Canis lupus familiaris: one gene and its partners. The protein of the gene in region 7 interacts with the protein of the main gene of each other region in a pairwise test. Links are inferred from orthologs where the notes say so. Each region holds a gene or a part of one and is shown on either strand. Other genes may lie near its edges. The genes, in order: NGB, EIF4EBP1, C18H11orf68, EIF5A2, ATG9A, OTUB2 and REL.

Evidence for each region.
Region 1: the proteins of REL (region 7) and NGB interact in binary tests that used the Homo sapiens proteins (3 or more experiments, as listed by UniProt). The two-hybrid records come from large-scale screens. The link is inferred for Canis lupus familiaris from reciprocal best matches to the Homo sapiens genes REL and NGB.
Region 2: the proteins of REL (region 7) and EIF4EBP1 interact in binary tests that used the Homo sapiens proteins (3 or more experiments, as listed by UniProt). The two-hybrid records come from large-scale screens. The link is inferred for Canis lupus familiaris from reciprocal best matches to the Homo sapiens genes REL and EIF4EBP1.
Region 3: the proteins of REL (region 7) and C18H11orf68 interact in binary tests that used the Homo sapiens proteins (3 or more experiments, as listed by UniProt). The two-hybrid records come from large-scale screens. The link is inferred for Canis lupus familiaris from reciprocal best matches to the Homo sapiens genes REL and C11orf68.
Region 4: the proteins of REL (region 7) and EIF5A2 interact in binary tests that used the Homo sapiens proteins (3 or more experiments, as listed by UniProt). The two-hybrid records come from large-scale screens. The link is inferred for Canis lupus familiaris from reciprocal best matches to the Homo sapiens genes REL and EIF5A2.
Region 5: the proteins of REL (region 7) and ATG9A interact in binary tests that used the Homo sapiens proteins (3 or more experiments, as listed by UniProt). The two-hybrid records come from large-scale screens. The link is inferred for Canis lupus familiaris from reciprocal best matches to the Homo sapiens genes REL and ATG9A.
Region 6: the proteins of REL (region 7) and OTUB2 interact in binary tests that used the Homo sapiens proteins (3 or more experiments, as listed by UniProt). The two-hybrid records come from large-scale screens. The link is inferred for Canis lupus familiaris from reciprocal best matches to the Homo sapiens genes REL and OTUB2.

Annotation. Positions count from the first base shown.
Region 1 is NC_049229.1:50,400,725-50,404,650, reverse strand, and holds the start of NGB (neuroglobin), read left to right. Parts: upstream 1-1,126; coding exon 1,127-1,215; intron 1,216-2,578; coding exon 2,579-2,690; intron 2,691-3,428; coding exon 3,429-3,548; intron 3,549-3,926. UniProt on the Homo sapiens protein: Monomeric globin with a bis-histidyl six-coordinate heme-iron atom through which it can bind dioxygen, carbon monoxide and nitric oxide.
Region 2 is NC_049237.1:28,145,290-28,149,280, reverse strand, and holds the start of EIF4EBP1 (eukaryotic translation initiation factor 4E-binding protein 1), read left to right. Parts: upstream 1-1,191; 5' UTR 1,192-1,240; coding exon 1,241-1,385; intron 1,386-3,921; exon of another isoform or gene 3,922-3,991. UniProt on the Homo sapiens protein: Repressor of translation initiation that regulates EIF4E activity by preventing its assembly into the eIF4F complex: hypophosphorylated form competes with EIF4G1/EIF4G3 and strongly binds to EIF4E, leading to repress translation.
Region 3 is NC_049239.1:51,853,655-51,857,853, forward strand, and holds C18H11orf68 (UPF0696 protein C11orf68 homolog), read left to right. Parts: upstream 1-1,420; coding exon 1,421-1,554; intron 1,555-2,252; coding exon 2,253-3,009; 3' UTR 3,010-3,699; downstream 3,700-4,199. Other genes in the region: DRAP1 (dr1-associated corepressor), read right to left, coding at 1-106, 405-498, 610-682, 935-976.
Region 4 is NC_049255.1:35,577,921-35,581,945, reverse strand, and holds the start of EIF5A2 (eukaryotic translation initiation factor 5A-2), read left to right. Parts: upstream 1-1,225; 5' UTR 1,226-1,277; coding exon 1,278-1,442; intron 1,443-2,023; coding exon 2,024-2,128; intron 2,129-4,025. UniProt on the Homo sapiens protein: Translation factor that promotes translation elongation and termination, particularly upon ribosome stalling at specific amino acid sequence contexts.
Region 5 is NC_049258.1:25,643,392-25,646,764, forward strand, and holds the end of ATG9A (autophagy-related protein 9A), read right to left. Parts: intron 3,372-3,373; coding exon 3,254-3,371; intron 2,814-3,253; coding exon of another isoform or gene 2,730-2,813; exon of another isoform or gene 2,553-2,729; intron 2,456-2,552; coding exon 2,233-2,455; intron 2,058-2,232; coding exon 1,912-2,057; intron 1,570-1,911; coding exon 1,564-1,569; 3' UTR 501-1,563; downstream 1-500. UniProt on the Homo sapiens protein: Phospholipid scramblase involved in autophagy by mediating autophagosomal membrane expansion. Cycles between the preautophagosomal structure/phagophore assembly site (PAS) and the cytoplasmic vesicle pool and supplies membrane for the growing autophagosome.
Region 6 is NC_049229.1:63,438,388-63,441,887, reverse strand, and holds the end of OTUB2 (ubiquitin thioesterase OTUB2), read right to left. Parts: intron 2,493-3,500; coding exon 2,408-2,492; intron 1,797-2,407; coding exon 1,602-1,796; intron 625-1,601; coding exon 418-624; 3' UTR 365-417; downstream 1-364. UniProt on the Homo sapiens protein: Hydrolase that can remove conjugated ubiquitin from proteins in vitro and may therefore play an important regulatory role at the level of protein turnover by preventing degradation.
Region 7 is NC_049231.1:62,305,008-62,308,507, forward strand, and holds part of REL (proto-oncogene c-Rel), read left to right. Parts: intron 1-344; coding exon 345-485; intron 486-1,791; coding exon 1,792-1,896; intron 1,897-2,465; coding exon 2,466-2,678; intron 2,679-3,238; coding exon 3,239-3,307; intron 3,308-3,424; coding exon 3,425-3,496; intron 3,497-3,500. UniProt on the Homo sapiens protein: Proto-oncogene that may play a role in differentiation and lymphopoiesis.

The DNA of each region.
Region 1 (3,926 bases), on a different chromosome or scaffold from region 7:
TGGCTCAGGTCATGATCTCAGGGTCGTGGGGTCCAGCCAGGTGTGGGGCTCCTTGCTCAGCGGGGAGTCTGCTTCTCTCCCTTTCCTTCTGCCCCTGTCCTACCTCCCTAAAAAAGAGAAACAGAAAGGTTTAGGCCTGACACGGGGTCAACTTCACATCCTGAATGGCAAGCATGAGATTCCACTACCTGGACTTCAATTTAAAGAACAAAATGGTACTTCTATTTAAAATTTTTAAAAAGCCTATTGAAAACCATGGAATAGTAGAATGCTGGAACTTGACTCCCTTGAAGTCCAGGTATTCAATGGGTCACAGCTGCTGTGCGCAAGACCCGGGGCCTGGCCAGGCCTCTAGAGCCGGGGCCAGACCTGGAGCTCACAGATTGCTAAAGATGCTGCCTAGGGAAACCCAGGCCTGGCTGGAAATGGCTGCAGTCCTGCCGCTGTCCCTAAGGCTGGGAGTCCCAGTGGGCCCAGCGAGCCGGGATGGAGGTGGAGGTGGTGGGCAGCCTGCCGGGCCTCGTCAGAGCCAGAGCAGGGCGGGGGCCTCCCCAGCCTCAGCCGCTCACACGGGGCCCCACGTCGGGGCGGAAGGAGGGAGACCCGGTGCCAAGGGGGCGCAGGCTCTAATGCCTCCAGGTAGTCCTCGAGGGAAGGCTGCGGAGAGGTGGCCCGTGCAGAGCCTCCCCAACGCCGTCGCCATCGGGTGCGATCGGTGCCCCAAGCAGCAAGCGGTGGAATCGTCACCGGGTCCTGGACGAGAAACGGGCCCGGAGAGGCTCGACGCTCTCTGTTGAGCTCTGAAGCCCAGGCGTTTCCGGGCCACCGGGTCGTCCCCGGCCACAGCCGGTTGCCCGGGGCTGAGGGCCTTGACGGACGGAGGGGGCGGGGGCCGCGGCGGCTTTAAAGCGCCGGGTCGGGCGGCGCGGGGCGGGGCGCTGTGGGAGCCGCGGGGCGCAGGGCGCAGGGCGCAGGGCGCGGCGGCCGGAGCGGGGTCCCGGCGGCGCGGGCGGGCGCGGGCGGGCGCGGGGGGCCGCGGGGGGCGCCGAGGGGCCCGCGTCGCCGCCGACATGGCGCGGCACGTGCGGTGACGGTGGCCGCGCCCCCAGGGCGTCCGCGGGCGAGCATGGAGCGCCCCGAGCCCGAGCTGATCCGGCAGAGCTGGCGGGCGGTGCGCCGCAGCCCCCTGGAGCACGGCACCGTGCTGTTCGCCAGGTGAGGGCCCGCGCGCCCCGGGCGGGGAGGGGGCGGCGGGCGAGCCCCGGCCAGAAGGGCGCGAGCGGGGCTTCCCGGCGGCGGGTCCCGGCCATCTCCGGGCGCCCTCGGCGCGCGCCGCGCCCCTCCCCGCTCCGCTCGGCTCGGCTCCTGAGCGGGCCCCCGGGTGGTGCCTGAGGGCGCCCCGAGGGCTCCTGCGCCGCGGCCAGGCCCGGGGCGCGCCCTTGGAGGACAGGGCCGGGCTGGGGCCGGGCTGGGGCCGGGCTGGGGCCGGGCTGGGACCCGAGAACCGCGAGACGCGGCCGGGGCCAGGGGGTGCGCGGGCCCCAGGGGGAAAGGAACAGCGGCCCCTCTGCCATCACCAAGGGCACGGCTCGGACACCGTGGTTTCTCCGGAGCTTTGGCCCCCAAAGCCAGCCCAGAACTTCTGAGGAGGCTGTTTTGCAAAACCGCCTCCCCAAACAAAGGGGGAATCGATTAGTGGGGTTACCCGAAAGCCCCATGAGCCCTCTCAGATGTGAATGATGAGCTCCCACTTGGCGCCTCCCAGCTTTCCCTAAGCCCGCTGTTGTCTCGGGCCCCCTCTGTGCTCCTGCTACTTCCAAGCTGTGTGACCGGAGGCAAGGGACTTACACTCTCTGGGCTTCTGCTTCCTCCTCTGTAAGAGTTGGGGTAACAGTTATACCTGCTGCTGAGGACTGTGAGGGATACAGAAGTTAACCACATGTAAAGTATTCAGTGCCCAGGAGTTCTTTTCTTTAAAGATTTTATTTATTTATTAGAATACACAGAGAGGAGAGAGAGAGAGAGGCAGAGGGAGAAGCAGGCTCCATGCAGGGAGCCTGACGCGGGACTCGATCCTGGGACTCTGGGATCACGCCCGGAGCTGAAGGTGGTGCCAAACCGCTGAGCCCCTGGGGCTGCCCTAAGGAGTTCTTAATAGTGCTGTTATCATCACTGGCCGAGCCTCTGCAGACATGATGAGACTAGGAGGTTCTGACCCAAGAGTGGAAGGGAGACAGACAGAGACAGACACAGAGAGAGAAGAGGAAAGAAAGGAGAGAAGGGCTTTCCTATTTGAGGACCCCTCCCTGTCCCAGCCCCCTGACCTGTTTATGGAGGGCTGCTCTATGCCAGGTCCCGGGAGAGGATGACCCTCGGAAGCAGTGGAAGAGGTGAGAAAGGGTCACCAGCAAAGCTGGCAAAGGGGTCAGTGCCCAGTTGGAGGGGGTGTTCTAGCTCCCAGCTGAATCCCTGCCTCCCCACCCCCACCCCAGCCTGCTGGGCAGCCAGGGTGCGCGGGGCTGGCCGGGGCCTGGGGGGACCAACACCCCAGGGCTGACACGTGGGTCTCCCCCGACAGGCTGTTTGACCTGGAGCCTGACCTGCTGCCCCTCTTCCAGTACAACTGCCGCCAGTTCTCCAGCCCGGAGGACTGCCTGTCCTCCCCCGAGTTCCTGGACCACATCAGGAAGGTGAGGAGGAGGCGGGGTGGCCTCAGATCCAGCAGGACGCCTTCCCAGGAGAGAGTGAGGGACTCGGGCTCCTCAGGAGAGTGACTTCTGCCCTGGCCTGGTCTCATTCCCCTCTGCCGCTCCCCCAGGCCAGAGATGTCTGCTCCTTGCCCTATGTGCTGGGCTGGGCAGAGCCTGGGGCACCGTGTGTGCAGCCAGCTGGTCCCCAGCTCCCAGAGATGGTACTGGCACTGACCCACTAGGGGCCATCTGCCTCTGACGCCCAGGCTGGGGTTCCCTAAGAGGCTCATGACTCTCACAGTGCCTCAGTTTCTCCTTGTCTGGGGCAGACAGCACCATCCCGCTGTCGTGTTTAGGGCTTTGAGACCCTAGAGGAGAGGAGCTGCCATCACAGTCTAACATCAGTAGTTTGGCCACATGTTGAGTGCCTACTGTATGTACACACAGATTGCCTTGCATTTCTTTTCTTTTTTTTAAAAGATTTTATTTTATTTTATTTTTTTAAGTAATCTCTACACCCAACATGGGGCTTGAACTTGCAACCCCGAGGTCAAGAATCTCACACTCCACCAACCGAGCCAGCCAGATGCCCCATGACCTTGCATTTCTGATCCTGGCAAACCGAGGGTCCTGGTGACCTCTCTTACTCCTGGTTGGATCCCCAGATTCTGGACTGTGGTTATGAGCAGGTGGGATTGTTCTGGCCTCTCTGATTCACGGCTGCGTTGGCCTTGGCAGGTGATGCTCGTGATTGACACTGCTGTGACCAATGTAGAGGACCTGTCCTCGCTGGAGGAGTACCTTGCTGGCCTGGGCAAGAAGCATCGTGCAGTGGGTGTGAAGCTCAGCTCCTTCTCGGTGGGTAAAGGGGCTCTTGCTCTCTCTGGAGCGCCTCACCTGAGGCCCCAACTCTCCCAGTCCTCCCTGTTCATCTGTTCTTTCTCCCTATTCCCATCCCCTCAGATGACTAGGACCAGGCGGGGTGGATGGTGGGGGGGCTGCATCTGTTACTTCTGTGCTGTGTGACCCCTGACACTGCCTTGACGACTCTGAGCCTCCAATTTTTCTTCCCTGGTTTGGCTTCTCTTAGAACCGTGGAAAGTTAAAGAGCTTCTGGGATTGGCCAGTCTTCTCAGTTTCCTGTTACCGTGTATAAAACCATCCCAAGCAAACGATTCCTGATTTCTCTGGGTTCGGTGGGACAGTGCTTTAGCTCCACACGAAGGGGCTGGTGTC
Region 2 (3,991 bases), on a different chromosome or scaffold from region 7:
GGGGAAACAAACAAACAAATACCACCAACAAAACCCTAATCATGTCACTCCCCAACTTAAGAGATCTCTGATATCTCCTACCCTCCTAGGACAAAGTCTGAACACTTTGGCATGATTTAAAAGACCCTTCACAAAAAACAAAACAAAACAAAAAAAACCTTCACAATCAGACCCCAATTTATCCTTTAAACTGTTCTTCGTGGGGCACCTGGGAGGCTCCATGGTTGAGCCTTTGCCTTAGGCTCAGGTCCTGGGCTGAGTCCCAAATTGGGTTGTTGTAGAGGGAGAGCCTGCTTCTCTCTGTGTGTCTCTCATAAATAAATAAATAAAATCTAAAAATAAATAAATAAATAAACTGTCCTCCTGTCTCCTCTCCCCTTGTATCAAGTAGCTGCAATGACAGACCTGGTCTCTCACCCCACGGGCTTCTCTGCCTTCCTGGTATTTTTCAGTCTCCACTTGGAGAGCTCCTTGAAGCCTCATTCATTGGCCGGTTCGATGAGTGCCCTACTAAGTGTCAGGCGGCCTGTTGGCCCCGGTTCCCAGCTCCCAGGGCCGCAAGGAACCTCCCTGGCCCACTCTTCCCCGCCCCCCCCCCCCCCCCCCCCCCCCCCCCCCGGCGTCCAGCCCCTCCCAGCGCCCGGGTGGGCTGGAGCTGTAGCCTGCAAACGAGCTGGGCGGCCCGTCCGCGCTCCTCCCACACCCTCCCCCACGCCAAGGAACGCCCCCTCTGCGTTACTTCTGCGCCCCGCGAAGGCTCAAAAAAAAAAAAAAAAGCCCTGAGGGGTGAAGGAGCACTCAACCCCCACGTTCTCACGGCAGGAACCGAAGCGCGGAACACGGAGCGCTGAAGGAGACCGTCCTGCCCATACAGGACCCTCCTGTATGCAAGGGTCCCCGCACAGCTCTGACAGCACCCGGCCGCGAGCCGTTAACCCACACAAGCCCCCGGCTCCATCGCCGCCGCCAGCCGGACCGGACGGACTCCCGAGCAGGAGCGGCGGGCCGTCGGGGGGCGGCGCCCGCAGCCGCGCGGAGGAGACCGCAGACCGCGAGAGGGTGCCTCAGGGCCGGGGTGCGGAAGAACGCACGAACCGGCAGCCCGGCCGCCGCGGCGCCGCTGGGACTACAAATCCCGGGGGGCGCCGCGCCGCGGGGGCGGAAGGGGCGGGGCGAGGTGGGCGGGGCCGGGGCGGCCGTCGGGCCAGGCTCGGGCTGCGGGCGCGGCGCGCGGGAGACCATGTCCGGAGGCAGCAGCTGCAGCCAGACCCCGAGCCGGGCCATCCCCGCCACTCGCCGGGTGGTCCTCGGCGACGGCGTGCAGCTGCCGCCCGGGGACTACAGCACCACCCCCGGCGGCACGCTCTTCAGCACCACCCCGGGAGGTAGGCGCGGGCTCCGAGAGCGGGCGGTGCGGGGGGCTGACTGAGCGGAGCGGGAGGGGTCGGGAGCCGCCAGTTGGACGGGGCGACCGAGCTAAGGGGCGCGGTGACTGCAATAAGGCGCATCAGGGAGGCAGCGAGGGTCGCGGAGGTGGCCACCAGGAGCGAGCAGATGGTCGCTGCCCATTGCCTACCCTCTGGGTGCGTCCCCCCGAGCCCGGACTGCAAACTGCTCCATGAGTTTCCTCCTCCTGGGAGAGACAACCGAGTACCCCTACGGAAACATCCGCACGCTTGCAGAACGACCACATGCCAGGGTGTGCTGCCCCTTGTGGGTTTGGGGGCGTTCTGAGGCAGAAGAGCGTGGGGTCAGAGTGGCCTGAGAGCAAGGGGAGGCCTGGCCTGGGGCTTTTAGGGGATGGGGACGGGCGTTCTCTGTCGGGGTAAACGACTCTTGAAGAATCCTTTTTCCTTCCCGGGGCACCCCCAGTTTTCCACTGGGCCAGCACCCTCTGACGGGGGATTTGGGCTGACGGCGCCCGTCTGCTCCAGCTGCGCCTCACCTGCACCTGAGCCAGGTTGCCGGCGTACGCGTGTGCTATCTCCGCAGAGGGACCCGGAGCCGCGGGCAGGGCTGTGCAGAAAAACACGTTCTTCGGTCCGGGGGGGAGGGGGAACCGTGTGACCTCCCTAAGAGTGTATGAGGAAGAGGAAGCTGAGCTGGCACGGGTGGGGGCCAGCCTTGGGCTGCCCTCGGGAGCCAGGCATTCCCTCCCAGCCCGGGAGCTCCGGCGCACAGGCGCTGATGAAACCTGCCCGCCCGTTTGCATGATGAAATCCTCGTGGCTCACCACTTCCCTGTGATCCTCGTCCCTCTGCCCTCACCCGCTGTGTCCTTCTCCCCTCCACCCTCCTCCACCGCTCCGGCCCAGACTGCACCAAAACGCCGCCGCAGAGTGGCGCTCCGTTGAGAGACACGGGTGCAAGTGGTCGCAGGCGGGGCGGCAGCCTCGTCCCTTGCCAGCGTCTGGGAGCCACATGCTTATTTTCTCAGGCAGCAGTCCCACCACCAGCAAACACTGACAGATCCGAGGTCTCCCGCCGGTTGATCCAAAACATACAAGGTTAGAACTGTCAGGGATTATGGATGTACTTGTTTCACAGAGGCTCCAAACTTGAAAACACATGTCCCTTATCCAACGTCACATGGTTTATCAGGTTGAACAGGAAATAGTATCCAAGCATAAAGGGGTAAATGCTCTCTCTTTTATTAAAAATGATCAAAGGGAAAGTTCTCAGTGAGCCTTTGCTCCACTCTTGACTCAAATTCTCCATCCCTGCGAAACGTCTTTTGTGACCCCTTTGGTGGGCGTTCTCTGTCATGTTGTGCCTACCAGGATCTGTCCTGGATGATTTTGGATTTCTGTTAAGTGAGGGTGTGAATCTCCACTTGATCTGTCCAGAGTGGGCACTGAGGCAGGCCTGAAGGCTCAGGTGCTCTTTTTTGCACTCTTCGTTGCTGCATGGGGACAGGTCAGTTGGAAGCCATGGCCAGTGTTACTGTTTACAGGGAACTCTGATCCACTTCTCATGCTGGACTGGGAAATGGAGGGTTGTTTTGTTTTGTTTGTTTTTGTTTTGGTAAACAACAACAAATCTCCCTTGGAAGGTCTTTAGTTGGAAAGGGTCTCCTGGGTCAGAGCATAACTTTGTTTCTGAGGCCAACTGGAAGGGAGCTAGCAGTGCCAGGAGCCTAAAGGCAGCTTTCTTCTCTGGGGTGTTCAGCAGGACAGGCACAGCTCACAGTCCATAACTTGGAAAAACACTTCTTGCTAATGTCAGTAAGTCTGGTCTGCCTCAGTGAGCCAAGGCTTGCAGTCTTCCTCCAAAGCCCAACTTTACTCTACCCTCAAAGAAGCTTAACCTAAGGTCATTTCTGGCACCCTTTTGTTCTGGTCTAGATGTTATTTTCTCATTCCTCAATGGACATATGAATTACCTGGGGACCTCATTTAAATACAGCCTTTGGTTCTGTAGGTTCTGGGTTTGGGCCTGAGATTCTACATTTCTAACCAGCTCCCAGTGATTGATCTAAGTACCACACTGAATACTCAGGACTATGACTTCCCTCACCTTTTCAGACCTCTGGGGTCTGGCAAAAAGTGATGCTTCTAACCAGGTAAACTCTTGAGGTTGGGTTGGCATCAGCCTTCAGACCAGGGTCCAGAAAGAGTCTGTGCAGGTGCCAATAGTAGCTTATTTGCAAGTGCCAGGAGCTATCAGAGTGTCCACAGGTCACTTTTGCTGAGAATGGCACTGTGGTGTTCATCCCCAGAGGAACAGAAACAGCAGTTGATTTGATTCGTAAGACGCCAGTTTACTTCTCTTGGTCATTAATCTTTCACAAGCTAATCCACTGATCTGGTTAGAAGTCTGGAGAACTTTAGATAAATTTGTTAAAAGGAGTGTTGTATATGAATATTTGAGCCTGTGGAGTCTTAAAAATGATCAATGACACAATAGACCAGCAGAATCGTTGTTTTTGTTTTTGTTTTGTTTTGTTTTATTGGAGTTCAATTTGCCAACATATAGCATAACACCCAGCGCTC
Region 3 (4,199 bases), on a different chromosome or scaffold from region 7:
GTCCCCATCCATGTGGTTGTCTTCCCCGTCTCCCTGCATGTCAGGCACAGAGGCCACCAGATCCTTTAAAAAGTCAAACTGCTGCTCCAGCTCAATGCACTGTTTCCTGGAAGAGGTGAGGAGAAGATGGAATTCAGCTGGGGCCCAGATGTCTGGGTTCTCAGCAAGGGACAGCAGGAGATATCAGGAGATGGATATCAGGAGGATAGAGCCTGGAGAACCTCCATCCCATCTCCACTACGGAACCTGCTCGCCTTGCTACACCACCCAACCCCTCCTCCCCCAGTTCAAACCCACCCATATTCGAGGCGTTGCTGGTCTCCCAGCAGCCTCCCACCTCTCCTAAGTGTGTGAACTCCTGGGGCAAGGTTCCACTGGGCCCAACCAGCTCCCAGGCCACTCACAGGTGGGATGTGGTCATGGTCTTGGCGTTTCGGGACTGGGTCACCTGGCAAGCCTTTTTCAACAGCGACTCTAGGAACAGCTCGAGCGCCCGGGCTGAGGAGCGTCAAGGAGAACACGGGTGGGGGATCCCCAACCTAAACAAGGCGACCCCGGGCTCCCTCCCTACCCCAGGTCCCTCAACCTGGCCAGGCCCCGACAGGATACAGATGATGACAGGCACTGCCGCCGCCACCTTCCCAATCTCTTCGTCAGTTTGCATGATCTTCTTGATCCGCGCCTGGGGAGGGGGCAGAAAACTCGGACCCTGTCGCCTCCATCCCCGAAAGGGGTGCTGGGGGCTAACGAGAGAGGTTCTCCCGGGAGAGAGGGCTGGGGACCCGGACGCCGGGAGGGCACGGAAGGGGGCGGGGCGTTCGTACCCCGAACACCACGGTGCGCCCGCCCCCCCACGCAACCTCCCCAAGCCCGGCTCGGGCCCGAGCCTCCAAAGAGCCCGGCCCGCTCCTCGGGGGCCTGGCCACGTGCTCACCGGCGGGAACCGCGCGTTATACTTTTTCTTCTTGCTCGGCATCTCAGGGCCTCTCTCGCCACGCCGGGCCCAGCGCCGCCGCCCGCAGCTTCCCGGCCCCCGGGCCTGCTCGCCACCCGCCTGCCGCGGTTCCCCCGGGTCCTGGTGCCGCCTGCTCCGCCCCCGCCGCTCCCCACGCGGTCCTAGCGCCGCCGGTCAGGACGCCGCTCGCAGGGCCGGAGCGCCCTCCCCTTGCGGCCTCCCGGGCGGTGCGCGTCGATCCGGGACCGGAGCGCCGCTCCCGCCGGCCCCCAAGCCTAGGAAAGCGAACGTTAGCCCCGCCCCCGAGGCCCCGCCCCGCCCCGCCCCGGTTCCCCTGGCGGCCCCGCCCCCGGGGTCAGTCCCTCCCCTCGCAGGCCCCGCCCCGCGGCGCGGGCGACAGGCCCGGCGGCCCCGCCCCGTGCTGCGCTTGTCTATAAAGTTGTTGTTGAGGCGGCGGGCGCTAAGATGGCGGCGGCGGCAGCCGTGGCGGGGGCGGGGCGCGGCGGGGGCGGCGGCGGCGGCGGCGGCGGCGCGGAGCCCCGGCAGGAGCGTAGCCGGGCGCGGGGCTGGGCCGGCGCCGAGCGCGGCGAAGGCCGGAGGTGACGGCGGGGCTGCGGGAGGGGGCAGGGCTGGGCGGGGGCGCGGCTCGGGCTGTGGGCGCTAATGGCGGCGGGCGCGGCGGGCCCGAGGCTGGCGCTCTCGTAGGCTCTACCAAGCCTGGGTTCCAGTCCGGCTGTCGCCCCGTTGGCCTTGGACTGGTCACGGCTCTTTCCGGGCATCAATGTGCTCGTGCTCAAGTAGGCCCGACAGCGCCAGCCCGGGGGTCTGGTCCTGCTGGGCCTGCCTCGATGCTACGCGAAAGTGCGCTTCTCTGCCTCCCTCCGCTGAATCCTGCGATCGGGATGCCTGCCAGTTCCGGGCAGGGCCGGGAGGTGTAGCTGGGCTGGTTGCTCCCACACCTGAATTCACATTTCGGCCCCTGTCACTCATTGCAGGTGTGACCTTGGGTGGGTCACTTCTCCCTGAGCTTCGATTTTCTGGTCTGTAAATTGGGGAGAGTGGTAATAGCATTAGTAATAACCTTTATGCAGCGCTTATTCCACCTTAGGCGTTTAATGCTCCATAGCTCTACGGGACAGGAACAGCTTTTGTCCACTGTAAAGATGAGGCAGCTGAGGCACCAGACCTTAAGTCTTGCCTAAGGCCACGGAGTTTAAGCCCATTGGCTGCACCAGCTAGGGCCCAGCACGTTGTACGTCTGTCCTGGACCTGCTCTAACTCTGTTCCTTCATGGCAGGATGGAGCCAGGTGAAGAGATGGAGGAGGAAGACTCTCCAGGCGGCCGCGAGGATGGCTTCACTGCTGAGCACCTGGCCGCAGAGGCCATGGCAGCTGACATGGACCCCTGGCTGGTGTTTGATGCTCGCACCACACCTGCCACCGAGCTGGATGCCTGGTTGGCCAAGTACCCACCATCCCAAGTTACTCGCTATGGGGACCCTGGCTCACCCAACTCTGAGCCCGTGGGCTGGATTGCAGCATATGGGCAAGGCTATGTCCCCAACTCGGGCGATGTGCAGGGCCTGCAGGCAGCCTGGGAGGCTCTGCAGACCAGCGGGCGGCCCATCACACCGAGTACCCTGCGCCAACTGGCTATCACCCATCATGTGCTGTCTGGCAAGTGGCTGATACACCTGGCACCTGGCTTTAAGCTGGACCACGCCTGGGCTGGCATTGCTCGGGCTGTGGTCGAGGGCCAGCTTCAGGTGGCCAAGGTGAGCCCACGGGCCAGGGAGGGTGGGCGCCAGGTCATCTGTGTTTACACCGATGACTTCACGGACCGTTTAGGTGTACTGGAGGCAGATGCAGCCATCCGTGCGGCAGGCATTAAGTGCCTGCTCACCTACAAACCTGACGTCTACACCTACTTGGGCATCTACCGGGCCAACCGCTGGCACCTCTGCCCCACTCTCTATGAGAGTCGTTTTCAGCTGGGGGGCAGTACCCGTGGCTCCCGTGTGCTGGATCGCGCCAACAATGTGGAACTGACCTAGTGTGGCCAAGTTGGGGGAGACCACGTTCTGCCCCCCTCCCACTCAGCTCCCTGCTACGGTTGGATCCTCCTGTCTTCCTCCTCTTTGTCCCAAGGAGTTTGAGCCCCCTAGCTCTGAGGACCAGGTCAATCGGAAACTGCCTGCATCTTTGGTCCCTTTGAACCTTTGCCCTCTGTTCAGGGCTGACTCAAGTTCCCACCAGCTGGAGGCTCTGGCTCCCTGAGGGCCGGACCCTCAGCCTCTCTTTTCACTGCTGCTCCCTTCTGTCATCCAGGACCATGGGCTGGGTACAGATTCCCAGGAGGAGAGCCTTCCTTAGCCACCCTCCTCCCCAGGTGTACCTCCCTCTCCTGCATCCTTTCCTTCTCCTCCCTCACAAGAGAGAAAACTAGTGCTTCCAGTCCCTCTTGGAGCCTTCCTAGTCCAGGGGGCAAAGGCCCTGCAGGCCTAAGCATGCTATTTTGGGGGTAGGGTGGGGGAAGGGTGATTGTACCCACTCAGCCCTTGGCAGAGAGAGGGGATGCCAGGGCCATGGACATGGGTCCTGCCCCTCCCTGCCACCTCATACAGCCTGCACCACCTTCCTTCCTTCCCTGCACCACCTTCCTTCCTTCACTACCTTGACATGTGCCTGCTCCTGGCATTTCAATAAAACCCAGTTTGGGTCTGTGTCTTGAGTGTTTTTTAAAATACTGTGTTGGTGGTTACCTGCTTTGGTCTCTGGAAAGAAGCTGGGCCAGGAAAGCCTGCTTCTCTGCCCTACATGGGTACGCCTAACTGCCTCCTATAATAAGATTCACCTCACTGCCAAGGCTGGGAGCCTCTCTGAGAGCCTCTGCAAAGCTAGTCCTGCTTCTCCTCCATCCCAAGAATCAGAATCGGTTTCTCAGTGATTTCTCATAAATCTAGGAGCTTGAACCAGCAAAGTCTGAGGCTACCGCGCATAGGGTGTATTTGCTTGGTCCTGGCATTTCTAGGTTAGGGCATATGGTCTGGTGAGTAGAGGATGGGCTAGGTTTCAACAGCCTAGGTTGGACATCTTTATGTGGTGAATGATGTGTACAGCCATAAGGAACTCACATCTAAGAACTCACTTCTCCCACCCTGACTGTCACGGGCCACTGGACAGTTTGCAAGGCACTTCCATATGTATTATTTAAGTCTCATGACCTATTCAGAAGAAGATATTG
Region 4 (4,025 bases), on a different chromosome or scaffold from region 7:
TGCGGACCCGTCCGGGCGCCCGGGGGTGGGGGGGCGATTCCTGCCAGAACCTCATCACCGGTCACCCAGCCCCGCCCTCGGGCTCGGCCTCGAGGCAGCGCCCACCTGCGCCTGCGGTTGCAGCTCCACGTTCCCGCCACCACTACGCAGGGCAGCCCCGTTGAAGTCGCGTGCGTCGCGCGACCTGAGGCCGTCACGTGACAACCGCCAGGCCCCTGAAGGGCCGGGGCCGCCACGCGCGCGCTCGGGCTCACCGTTGACTCCGACGGGGACCCCGGGCGCCCCGAACCCAGAAGTTCGCAGGCCCTGAGAAAGTGCTCACTTCACGCCGGAAGTGCACTAATCCGCAGCACGTGGGGTTGCCAGGGCGCGCTTCACGTGACGGGGCGGGGCCTCGGGACCCGCGTGGCCAATGGTGGCGCGGGGGGCGGGGCCTGTGACGCGCCGGGACCTATCCCGGAAGTGGGGCTGCGGCGGGGGCGGGCGGGGGCGGGGGCGGGGAGGCCGGGGTGTGGAAAGTGTGGCGGCCCCGCCCCGTCTCCTGGAACCGCCGGGGCCGCCGCCGCCGCAGCTGTAGGGGCCCGCGCCGGTGCGCAGGCGACAGGCTCGCTGTCCCCGGCTGGAAGGTGAGGACGTGGGCGAAGCCGGAGGGGCCGGGACCCCCGAGCGAGGCCGGGCCGGAGCAGGCTGAGCGAGGGAAGGAGGAAGGATGGATGGGGCAGCCGGGGCGCAGGCCCACGCGGGCCGGGCCGGGCCGGGCGGGCCGGGGATGCCGGCAGGACGGAGGGCGGAGCGCGAGCCGGCCGGGGGCCAGGTGCGGCCGCCCAGGTCCCGTTATCCCCATCGTGCGCGGGGACGCGCGGCCTGGGCTGGGCCCCCCGTCGCCGGCTGCCCCTGCGCTGGGACGGCGGGGCCGGGCGGGCTGCCCCCGGGGCGTCTAGCCCCACCGCCGCCCCCACCCCCGCCCCCGCCCCCGCCCCCGCCGAGCCCTCCTGCCACTTCCCTCCTCCGGGTGCAAAAGTTTATAGAGGCCCGAGTTAGAAAGTGCCCACTATTCCCGGGTGGGTGCTCCGCGAATGGGGGCGGGGGCGGGGTGGGGACTGGACCCGCGATGTCTGGCCCGCAGCCTGTCCGAAATGTGATGTCTCCCTGCCTTGCGTGCCCGTTGTTAAAAAAAAAAAGCGAACACAAACTTTTTTTTTTTTTTTTTTTTGCATAGTTTCCCTCCCCCCCCCCGCCCCCCGCCCCCGAGGAAGCTACGGTCGCCCCAGCCCACCATGGCGGACGAGATCGACTTCACCACTGGAGATGCCGGGGCTTCCAGCACTTACCCTATGCAGTGCTCGGCCCTGCGCAAAAACGGCTTCGTGGTTCTCAAAGGACGACCATGCAAAATAGTGGAAATGTCAACTTCCAAGACCGGAAAGCACGGTCACGCCAAGGTAAGTCAGTGCCCTTCCCCGGTCTCCCTTTGCCTTGCTGTTTTGATCATTTTGTATTCCAGTAGGGAACGTGAGATTTCCATATTTATAACTCGGCAATAATGACTTTTTTTTTTTTTTTTTTTTTTTCTTGACCACGATTTCTGAGTGACCAGCCATGGCTTTTTGAATACTGAAAGGTAGCATTTCCTTGTTTGGGCCCTTAATAATGTTTCGTTAACCGGTAATGGAAACTTTTTCCTGAATCCCAGTGATTTAGAATACATGTTCTGTTTATGGATGAGAAAACCTGTTCTAACATAACTTCATTTCTCTTACACAGTCTTATAACTGAATTCCTAGACTAGGAATTGGGTCTTGATAGGTCGTGAAGCTGTTTCGTTGTTCGCTGCTTCTCAATTCTCTGACCCCTGCTTTTTTTTTTTTTTTTTTTTTTTTTTTTTTTAAGAAAATAAAATTAGATGACCTTGGAAGGAGAAAGAATCTGTCATAATCAGCTTTGGTATTGTGCTCTTGTGTGTGTAATGAGTGATATACTTGGCAAAGATTAAACAGGTTTCCTGTTCTCCCTCCTCTGTTAGGTTCACCTTGTCGGAATTGATATTTTCACGGGCAAAAAATATGAAGATATTTGCCCGTCTACTCACAACATGGATGTTCCAAATATTAAGAGAAACGATTATCAAGTGAGTACTAGCTTCCTTTAAAATGGTGTTTTTTGTTTCTTAAAGTTGTAAATGCATTCTACTATCAACAGGAATTCAACAAAACCTGGTAGTAGTTTTGTAGGTTTTTCTAACCAGGTACTAAGCACCACCACCTATCTTAGAAATTGAAAATAGTGGTATTTAACACTTGTATCTTATCTAGAATTATAGCTGATTTGCTTTTTATTTTGACATTTTTGCATTCTTAAAAAGTTGAACATGTCTTATTATTTCTCAGACCAAGGGACTGCTTATTGTGACTAAGTTCAGTGTTCAGTGAAACTACTAAGCTTTCGTTGTAAAATATTTCCAATTCAGATAACTCCCCCCTGGATATTTTATTTCTTTTCACTTGTCAAGCCTAAGACTTTTAAGAAATCATTGGAATTCATGTTCCCCCAATCAAGTTTGTATATTATTGAATGTGAGTCAGAATTTGATATTCTTAAATAGGGAAGTGAGTTGAAAGTCTTTAATGTAAGGGATAAAGTATACCACCATGGCATATGGTAAAGAAAATACAAAACTATCTAATTGTTTTATTTACATTCAGTGACCATGCTGTGACCTTTTGTTAAATTATAGGTTTAGACTTCCAACTTGTAGTTCCAATTATACATTTGGATAAGTCATGTTTAATGATAGCATTTTGTTGTTTCGGAGTATTGGTGGTAACCAAACCATTGACCTCATAGGATGTGGGACCTCAGATTAATTATAACTAAAGTCTTTATTGTAAGTCTTCAATCTCATCGTCAAGCATACCGTATATAAAACTCTTTTTTGTTCATTTTATGGAGTCAGAAATGCAAGTGTGACACTTAGATTTTCTTCATTCATTTTAAACTGATTTCTTGCTGTACCTTTTATTCTATTATATACATGTTACCATCAACTGCAGTTAACATATGATTTCCTTTTATTTTGTACACATGTAAAAATATTTTTATGTAGTTTTTTTTTTAAGATTTTATTTATTCATGAGAGACACACACAGAGAGGCAGAGACACAGGCTCCCTGCGTGGAGCCTGATAAGGGACTCAATCCCTGGACCTGGGATCATGCCCTGAGCTGAAGGCAGATGCTCAACTGCTGAGCCACCCAGCCGTCCCTATTTTTACATAGTTTATTCTACTAAGCAGTTGTATATTTTCACTTTCCCACTTGTAAATGTTTTCTAGGTTGCTTTGGAGTCTTTCTAGAAATTTGCATTGTCTTATTATAATAATAGCATATTGAGTTTTTTTAATCAAACAATTTGGGTTTAGATCTGCTCCTGCCACTTTCTAGCTGGATGACCTTGGACAAATTATACAATCTCTCTGAGCCTCAATCTTCCATCTACAAAGGAAGGATAATGGGAGGATTAAGGAGAAAATGTATCCCATAATTACCTTATCGGTAGATATGTACCAAAAAGTAATTCTTTTCTGCTCCCCCCCCTTTGCCTTCATAAAAATTCCATCTAACCATTCCCTTGTACTTGGAACACCTAATTTAGACATGGCTTATAGTGGGTGCTCAATAAACATTTGTTAAATGCATGTGGGATTATTCAGTGAAGTAAGGATAGTGTAGCTAAGGCTAGGTATAGACTTTTCTTTTACCAAAAAATGGATTTCTGTTTTCATCCTTAACATGTGAATGCTTTGAATGTTCAATATTTATTATATATATATTAATATGTACTTAATACAGAATGCTTTTGCTTTTGGGCATTTCAAAAAGATAGTATCAGTAATTCATATGATTACTACTATGATCAAATTAACCAGTCATTGTTTGGAGTTCGAGATCTAACAAAAAGGAAAAATTTGGTTTGGGTTTTATTTGGGGATACAGCAGGGTCCAGACTAGGGTGAGGGGAACAAGGTA
Region 5 (3,373 bases), on a different chromosome or scaffold from region 7:
CCCTGCCCCGCGCACGCGCCGCCGCCGCGCACTCACGCAGGGCACGCACGCCCTCCTCGCGCGTCCGTCCGCCCCCCGCTCGCCGCCCGGGACCCTCCGGCCGCGTCCGGGCCCAAGGAATGTGGAGCGTGCGGCCGGCGCGGCGCCGGCGCGGCAGCCCCGCCCACGGGGCGGCCCCAGCCCCTACCGGGGCCCCCATTGGCCAGCCTCGCCGAGGGGGCGGGGCGCGGGGAGAGCGTGCACGCGGAAAAGGCAAAATACAGGGGCGGGGCCGGCCCGGTCACGTGCTCAGAGCGCGAAATCTGACCGCACGTCCGACCCGAGACCTTGACCTCCGCGGCGCGGCGCTGGGAGGTGGTCCTGCTCGCTGGCCCGCCCGGTGTATCCGAGTGACGGCGTCGGCCCACCTTCCCACCGCCCGGCCGGGCCCCCACCAGCAGGGGGCTCGCCCGCACCCCACTCCGCTCCTTCCCGGGATCCCAGCCGCGCGACGCAACAAGCCCGGTCAAAGTCCCTTTTTTATTAAGGGTTATCAAGCTGTACACAGTTCCTACGCCTTCCGCTGTGAGCCCGGGCAGCGCCGCGTTCCACGCCCGCAGCGGCCCGGGCGGGCGAGGGGTGGGGCGGAGAGTAGGAGCTGGGTCCCAGCATGCAATGCGGCAGCTCACAGCCTCGGGCGCAGGCCTCCTGTCGCCCCTCCAGCCCCGGGGGGAACAGCGGGAGGCAGCCCAGAGCTCTCTTGCTGGGAGGTAGACAGCCGAGGGCACAACCAGCCCAGTCCGTCCTTTGTGCAGGCGGTTAAGGGGTACAATAAGCAGCAATGGAGGCCAGGACGGCCTCAGTCTCTCAGGGGCCCTGCTTCAAACTTGGAGAGGGCAGCAAAGAACTTCCATCCTGCTCCTGCCTTTTAGAAACCTTCCTTCGTAGTGTCAAAAGGTAGCATGAGAGGAGCTGGGAGCTAGGGTCTCCACACCAGTGCGAAGCAAAAGCTGAACAGAACGGGAGCAAGCGAACAGAACAGAGTAAGCGGCATACATGCCTGTCATGTGCAGGAAGCAGGAGAGGTGAGCAGGCTGTAGCACTGGGAGAGAACTGGGGGTGAGGTAAGGGCCACAGCCTGAGCTACTCATCTGTTCGGGGTGGGGGAGGGAGGCTGCAGAGGTTGAGGGTCCGGGCCCAACCTCCCCACTCCACAGTTGGCACAGGTTCTCCCTGCTTGGCAGCTTCTGTGGTGGGCAGTCCTCTGGAGACTTGCAGGGGTGGGTGCAAAGGTGGCAGTACTGGGGCTGGACCGGGGACCAGTTTCTAGCACCACACTCTGAGCCAAGGGGGGTCCTGGGGATGAGGCTAGAGTCCTGTGTGCCTTGGTTCCTAGGCCCCCAATTTCTCTCCTGGGGCTGCGGCAAGCCCAGCGTTGGCACCTCCCTTGGCCAGGCACAGACACACAAACACCACACACGTGGAGCCAGGCAACAGTCAGAGGAGCCCTCCATGGCGGGCAGATGGGATGGCAGGGCAACCGTGGCCTCCATCCTGGGACATAGGGACCCTCCTCAGCCTTGTCTATACCTGTAGAGAGAAAAGGGTCAGTAGTGGAGACCATCTTCAGCTATCTGCTTACCACCTTCCTGCAAAAAAGCAAAACAAAAACACACACACACACACACACACACACACACACACAAAACCTTGGAGATAAATGAAGGGGAAAGCTTGATTCCAGGGGAGGAAAGTGAAGGGGAAAATTAAGCCCTGGATTCCAGAGTAGGGGAGGCAAAAAATGGGAGTGTATTTTGGAGGGGAAGGGACAGTACCTCCATACGAGAGGCCTGCCTTCTTTCACAGGAGACTTTGATCTCAGCCTGGAAGTTACTACATCTGGTAGCTGTTCTCCAGTCCTGGGGCCCTTACCTTGTGCACCTGAGGGGGAAGCTCATCCTCCGAGCCCTCCTCGGGCACCGGCTCTGGGTGCCTTGATGCTGACTGCCCATCTTCAGCCCACCCTCCAAGGGGCAGCCGGGAGAAGTGAGAGGGAGCCCGGGGTACCGTGCCAGGATCTAGAGACACAAGTAAACATGGTCTTAGAACGAACACAAATGTGGAGCAAGGTTCTGGGGCTGTTCAAGGTGGGGGTAAGGGTTAGTCTCTTTGGGCTTGATCCCTCTGACTTCTTTCCTCCCCAAGAGGCCCCCCCAAAGAGCCACTGTACCCTGCTGTACCCCCGTTGGATACCTGTGATACCCCCATAGCGCCTCTGGAAGCCCCCCTGCAGGGCGGTGGTCTCGGGTGCTCCAGGCCGGGGTGCAGCACAGGGATAGCTGGCAGAGCGGGGGATAGGTTGGGAGGCCCGGGAGCCCTCTCCCCCCTCTTCAGGGGCGCTCTCCCCACTCTCATCGCTCTCCCGGCGATGCCACACATGCCGCTCAGGCTCGGCCTGGGCTTGCTGTTTATGGAGCTGAGAAGTGTGGGGAGTGGAGGGTGACACTCATTAGTTAAGGCTAGGATATCTGAAACAGCTGCCCCCACTACACTGTTCCAAATGTTCCCATTTCTGGCACCGCGCCCAGAATCACTGACCCAGAGTAACTATCTTATTAACAGTGTGTAAGACACATACGACATCTTATAGGTTAAACTCTCAGCAGATCCCTGGAACGAACCTGTTGCATAAGTTGTGATGGCACTCGTTTTGCCTAGTCATTTGAGTCAAGAACAAGTTGGTGGTACATCTAAGTGCCAGGCACTCTTTCAAGGTGCCAGGAAGATAGCACTGAACAACAGACAAAAATCTCAGCCCTTGTTTGGCTTGTATGCTGGAGGCAGAGGTGGTGCGGGGGGATCAGAGACAATAAAATAAAAGAGGGAAAATGCAATAGATCAGATAAATGCTACAGAGAAAAATAAAAGCAGGGAGAGTCGGGGGTGGCCAAGGGAGACTCTTTTGGTCAGGGTGGCCAGAGACGTCTCATGGAACAGTTAAGAACAGACAGGTGATTAAAGGAGGGAGCCATAAGCATATCTAGGGAAGTGGATTCTTGGCAAGGGAAATAGCAAATGTGTCAAGGCCCCGGATGACAATAAGCTTGCCTAAAAATGGATGGCAAAAGGGTATCTGCAGGAATGGAGCTTAGAGTAGGTGAATAACAGACAAGGGTTCCAGACCCATGTCTTGCTTTTCCTTGCCTAGAACCCTCTATTCTATTTGTCAGTGGCCAGCTTGACTCTGTGGCTCTGCCCCTTGCTGCCCACTCACCTGGTGCATATAGAGGGCGTGCAGGCTCATCTCGGTGGATGCGTACTCCGACAGCACCAGGCTCTGCAGCTGTCCTTCCCACACGCTGCTCCCGGAGCTGGCTGTCCTGGCATCCACCCT
Region 6 (3,500 bases), on a different chromosome or scaffold from region 7:
TGTAGAACAGGTAAGTCACAGACGACAGCTGACCTTGAGCTTTTCTTCCCCCACAGAGGTTCTGCCCCTGGTGAAAGGAAACCAGAGGGCCTATTTTTTACAGTAGAACGTGAGCACTGGCAAATACTTTTTCCAGATGAAGAAACAGGCCCAGAGAGGGGAGGTGACTTGCCCAGGGCCTCAGGGAACTGGGGGCAGAGCCAGGGGTTCTGGCTTTGTAGCCCTGAGTTAGAAAGCATTTGATCCTCAAATTACCACAGTCCATAATGGGTAGGCCTCATTCCCAGTGACTCTGCCCAAAAGGCTGTACATTTTCTAACTATAGTTTAAGTTGCTTAAAAAATTGAAAAGCCGGAATGTTCCATTTAGAATGCAGTCCCGTTAGGTGACAGGCTCCACTGCATGGCCTAAAATTAATCAACGTTTATCGGCTGCATAAAGGATGTTGTAGTGGGATGTTTTATAGAGCAGGTAAACGGAAGGGGTGGCAGCCTCGGGGAACACGTGGTGGTTCAGCGCTGTGTCCATCTCATCCACATACTCCACCTGCAGGGCGATGTTCAGTGCCTGAGACAGGGCTGTGATCTGGATGTGGTCACACTCCATGGCCATGGGCTCCACTTCCTGCCAAGGCCAGAATAAAAAAAAATCAGTTTAGGGAGGAGGCCTAGCAGAGGACACAGGAGAATCCCAGCTCTGGCTTTCATGGCCCTGGGTCTTTTAAAGCATCTATGTTGGGAAATAGTCTTCACAACAACTCATTAGGTAGATACTTCCATCCCCCTTTCTAGAGGAGGAAACTGAAACCCTGTGAGGAAGGGCAACCAGAAACACAGTAGAACTGCAAGGCTCGATTCGAGATATCTTTGATTCCCGACTCTAACTATATGTAAGAAGAGAACAACACTACTTTCAAAAACGGGGGTGGGGGGGCAGGAATATTTGAGCTTGGACTTATTAATGCACAGAACCAGAGAATCCCAGAATGGAAGAGGACATCAAAAAGGGATTTCAGAGGGCTAGGCGAATGAGTGAGTCCGAGAGCTGAAGAGGCAACAGAGAGATGGTGGCAGGCTGGCATGCGTGTCCCACATAACCAGGGTGCTGCTACTCTGCTCCTGCTGTTTGTTGCCATGCAGGAATAAAGCCCTGAGAGCTGGATCTTCTGAGAGAAATCCAGATAGGAAAGCTACCCAAGGTTTAAATGTTGGCAGCTCCGTTTCAGATAATTACCATACATCATAAAACACATCTTAAGACAGATGTGATTCTGGGGCTGCTACTCTGCAGTTTTGTAAACAGGGCCCTCATTTCTCAGATGGATGTACACCCACAGCCACACAGTTCAGGCAGCTCAAGTAGGATCAGTTTCTGGCTTGCTAATCTTATTCTTCAGATTACAAATGCAGACGTGACCTCAACTTCCCTGGCAAGGGATGATGGTGTTAAAGTCTCCTGAGAGAAGAGGGGCTTTCCTGGCACCTTCCCACGGCCCACACACCATCCTCCCCTGTGTGTACAATCCCAGGAGGTGGGTATTGATACAGCAGATCCCAGGGCTGGGAGCTAAGTCCCCAAAGCTTGAGACTCTGAGGACCTACATGAGTACAGAAGTCTTTGATGTCCATCTCCTCATCAATGAAGTGTCGGAAGAAGTCTGCGCGGTTCTTGATGAAGGCTGAGGTGAGCAGGCGCAAAAACTGCACGATTTGGTCCGAGGAGCTCTGGTCGTTGAACACCTTCAGCAGGCTGGACACTGAGCCATCCTTCTCTACCAGCTCTACCACACTGTAAAACTGCACTCCGCCAGGTGTCAGTCGAGGGAGGCACAGGCAAGACCTTCCCTCCCCTCCCTCCCCTCCTTCCCCTCCCCTTCTCTCCCCTCTCCCATGGGACTCTCTCCACAGGACCCTCCCCTCCATGTGTATTTCCCTTTTAAGTGCTCTAATTGAGGTACCGAAATAAATATCTGGGACCAAAGCTAAGTAGGAGGGTTAGAAATGCTCTGCAATGTGTACCTTAGCCCAGAATCCTGTCTAGGGCACAGCACTTTAGGGTCTCCTTCCATCACTGGTTGTTGGGATTCAGAACTGAATCCTCCAACCCCACCGGCTTCATAAGGGAGGGGAGCAGGGTGGAGAGGAAATGGATGAAGGAAACTAGGGGATGTTTCCAGCCTGAAAGCTGCCCCAAAGGAGGTGCCCCTTCCCAATAGGAGGGCAGGGCCCTGGGGTCCTGTCCCCACGTGCTGGAAGCAGCTGTCCGTCCTTCCCCCAGCTGGGAGGAACAAAAAGGGCATAACAGCAGAACCATGGGCTGTGAGGGGCTCTAGCCAGTGCCCATTCCTGTCTGCTCTGCCAGCATGAAAGGACCTGGACCCTCAGCCACCCTGCCCAGGTTAACTTACAGCATTAAAGAAGTTTCGGAACTTGTGCTCCTCAAAACCAGCAGCCAGGAGGTCATTTGGGGTCTGCAGGACACGTTCTTTGAACCTGAAGGGGAAAGGAAGACTGATGGCTCATGGAGAAATGATGATGGAGCACTGCTGTGACAGTCAGTGTCCTCCCGCTCACACCCACTGCCCCCCACACCTGAGGTTTGTGCCACTACCAGGTGACTGCTCTCCCTTTCAGAGCACTTCCCTGTGGATCACACACGGACTTTTCTATTCCTCCCCAGTGTATACAATCCCAGGAAGGGGGTGTTACACCCAGTTCATAGATTAGGAGGTTGAGGAAATCACTATCCCCTCCCAGACGTTGATTCTACCTTTCAAAGGTTTCTGAACTCTGTTCCTCCTTTTCCCCGTGGTTCTTGCCATGTGATCATCATTTCTGGCCAGGGCCATGCTCAGCCTTCCCATGCTCCCAGTCCCTTCTCCACAAGGACCTCTGGAGTGACCTAGCACAGTCTCCTCCCTCAGGACACAGCTCCTCAGCACAAACATCCAAGGGAGGGCCCCTGCCTAGCTCCCCAATTTCCTCTCCCTTCTCAGCCTCCCTCCCACCCACAGCCACTTACTCCCCGTCTGTGTTTCACTCCTTAGCACCCTGTCCCCTCAACCAGTGCCCTCTACCTATTCACAAGAGCTAATTGTTCAGTTTTCAAGATTTTGCCAGTCAGGGGTTAAACACCATTACTTGAATTATACAACAACACAAAGCTAAATATTTAAAACTCCGTTTCCTAATTATCTTTGCTCTTGAGGTTACATATGTCTGTCATGTGTGATGGTGGAGAGATGACTGGGCTGTAGCATATGTTTATCTCTTCCCTGATCCCTGCTCAGTGACCCCCATGATGGTGGCTTGAAAAACCAATTGTGACAGGAGTATTTAAACCACAGGATGGGCTAACACAAGTCAGGCCTCCCTGTCCCACAGCCGTTAAACCTTGGCCAGCACTGACCTCCTTTCACACCTGGTCCAATGGCCCTTGCTCTTGTCAGTGCTGGCTCAGCCCTATCTGCCTCCATGGCAGGCCCCTAACGGCACAGCTCC
Region 7 (3,500 bases):
TCTCATACAGATTTATACTCTCCCTATTCTCTGTTGTGTATAACCTGCAACCCTTTTTGTAAAAATTTGGTTGGTTATTAATATCATTTTGGCATTCTGCTCTAAATTTCAGATGACTTAGGATAGTTACTTCCTGACCATGCACATAACTTAATGAATCCTGTGACTACATGATGATCCTGATAAAAGGCATTCTTGCGATTTTATACTCTTCTATTTTGTTAGTACAGATTGGATGCTACTTAGGGTTATTGGAAATGTTGGGCAGGGAGGAGGACCTAGCAGGGTTTTAGTTCTATGTGACTATTTTACATTCTTTAAAAAAAAAAAAATGTACTATTTAGTCCCTGAACAACAGCTGCTGGATATTGAAGATTGCGACCTCAACGTGGTGAGATTATGTTTTCAAGTTTTCCTCCCTGATGAACATGGTAATTTGACAACGGCTCTACCTCCTGTTGTCTCTAACCCGATTTATGACAACCGTAAGTACTTTATTTTATTGTATTTGTATTGTATTGTATTTATATGTTTTTTAGTTTAATTTTTTAAAGTATTTTGGCAATTAGAGAAAGTTTGTTCATTATAAGAACAATTCAAGCATTACTGAAATAACAAGAAGACTAGATCTTCTCTGATCTCCTCCTCCAAAGATAATCTATATCCTCAGGTACATATTTCACCAGTTTCTTCATATATAAAAACACATTATCACTATCCTTGATACAATATACTTTTAGCAACTTAAATCATCACAGATCCTTTGGAAAAAAATTTTTTCTCTTAGCAATGGATCTTGAGCCTTTTCCCTTTGAGGTACCTTGTTCCCTTCAGTAGCTGCATATTTCCTTATATGGCTGTATCATCATCTTATTAAACCAAACAAGGTATTTGGTTTGTTTCCTTCTTGATTTTTTCTCTAATAAATTGTATTTCAGTAAATATCCTGTATATGCATATTTTGTGCATATGTGTCTCTAGCATAATTTTACAGTAGTATGAATGTTGGCAAATCCTGGATCAAAGGATAGGGATATTTATAGTTTTAAAAGATTATGAAATTGCCCTGAAAGTTTTTGTGCACACGTGTACATATTTGCTCTTATATATGCATCCATTCCTGGTATATGATGGCCTATTTTGCATCTAGAAGCACATAGGCCTATAATGGTAGATCAGGGTATCCTTCTCACGGAGAATTTTGAATTGCCAGGGAGAGTTACTGAAATTATATTCCTAATAAAAGGGAGCGTGAAATCACCTTGTTATAGGGTTATAGTCATGATTTAAGAGATTAATCTGGTGACAGTGTATGGATGGATTGAAAGGATGAGAATTTAGGAACAAGGAAATTTAACTAGTGGACCTATTATTGCTGAGAAATGAAGTCACAAGGCTATAGACCAGGGTGGGCTTGTCGTCAGAAAGGAAAAGGACAGGTGTGAATGATTAATGTACTTAATGTCCTTAATTTCTTTATACACTAAAGCTTTTATCTGTCCTATAAATTGTTTCCCTAGAATTCTCACCATCAAAAAAGAATAAAAATGGGACCCCTGGGTGGCTCAGCAGTTTAGCGCCTGCCTTCGGCCAAGGGCATGATCCTGGAGTCCCAGGATCAAATTCCACATCGGGCTCCCTGCATGGAGCCTGCTCCTCCCTCTGCCTATGTCTCTGCCTCTCTCTCTCTCTCTCTGTGTCTCATGAATAAATAAATAGAATCTTTTTTTTAAAAAAAGAATAAAAAATATTACTAAGACAGAAACTCATTAAAAAATCCTTTTTATTTAGGTGCTCCTAATACTGCAGAATTAAGGATTTGTCGTGTAAACAAGAACTGTGGAAGTGTCCGAGGTGGTGATGAAATATTTCTACTATGTGATAAAGTTCAGAAAGGTATTTATTTATTTGTTTCATTGAATTTAGAATATGCAGATCTTCTTTGGCTTACAGTGGGGCTATACCATGATAAATTCACTGTAAATTGAAAATAATCTTAAATTGAAAATGCAGTTAATACACGTAACCTACCAAACGTCGTAGTTCAGCTTAGTGTACCTCAAACATGCCCAGAAAACACATTAGCCTATAGTTGGGCAAAATGACCTAACACAAAGCCTACTTATAATAAAGTATTGACTATCTCATGTAATTTATTGAAAACTGTACTGAAAGTGAAAATCAGAACAGTTGTGAGTATATCAGTGGTTTACCGTCCTGATCATGTAGCTGACGTGGCTTGCTGCCACTGCCCAGCATCTTCCGAATGTCATGCTGCCTATCACTAATCCAGGAAAAGATCAAAATCTGAAGTACGGTTTCTACTGACTGCATATCACTTTCACACCATCATAAAGTCAAAAAATTGTCAAGTTGAACCATCATCAGCTGGGAGCCATCTGTATTTTAGATTAATAGATGGATTTTGTTTTCCATTGCTGTTCCTTTGCTTTTATATTCATTAGATGACATAGAAGTTCGGTTCGTGTTGAATGATTGGGAAGCAAAAGGTATATTTTCGCAAGCTGATGTACACCGTCAAGTAGCCATTGTTTTTAAGACTCCACCATATTGCAGAGCTATAACAGAACCAGTGACAGTAAAAATGCAGTTGCGGAGACCTTCTGACCAGGAAGTTAGTGAATCAATGGATTTTAGATATCTGCCAGATGAAAAAGGTATGAGTTCTTGGTGGTAAGGTTTTATGTATTTCTTAAAGTTCTCCTAATACCATTTTCTTGTAAGATACGTTTGCATACTGTTAGGTTTATTTATAGTTCACGTTTTATTTCCAGAAAATTTTTCGGTGATTTTTTTTTTTTAACCTATTGATATTTATGCTCTTTGTATTCCTGTCTTTGGAAAGGAATCTAGAATAATTTCAGAGTATCTGAACTGTTTACCAAAATTTATTTTATATTTGAGGTTCTATTTTTGTCCTTATTGTGCCCTTTTTATAGATGGAAAGCTTGCCATTCAGAATGGTCTCCATTTTGGTTTCGTCCTTACCTGCCCTTATTGCGTTAGTTGACATTGTTAACTTATAGGTGTTATGAGAAAACAAGATGAGTATTAGACCCTTTACTACCTACTTGGGACACATTCTGCAACACTTAATAAATCCAAAGCATATACATTTGTTTAAAGCACTTTATGGGAATAAAACACCTGTTTTTTAAAGGAGAAGCCACATAAACCTATGATGATCTACATGTTTTCCTCGTTTCTTTTTAACCAGATACTTATGGCAATAAAGCAAAGAAACAAAAAACAACTCTACTTTTCCAGAAACTGTGGCAAGATTGTGGTAAGAGTATTTGATTTGTATTTAAATAGATTTTGGGTTTTTTGCTTTATTCAATTTTCCAAATTTTAGCTGATGTTTTTTTAAATTGCATTTAATAATGGAAAAACTTTATCACAGCAGTTAATTTTCCTGAAAGACCTAGACCTGGTACCCTAGTATCAACTGGAGAAGGAAGATTCATCAAAAAAGGTAT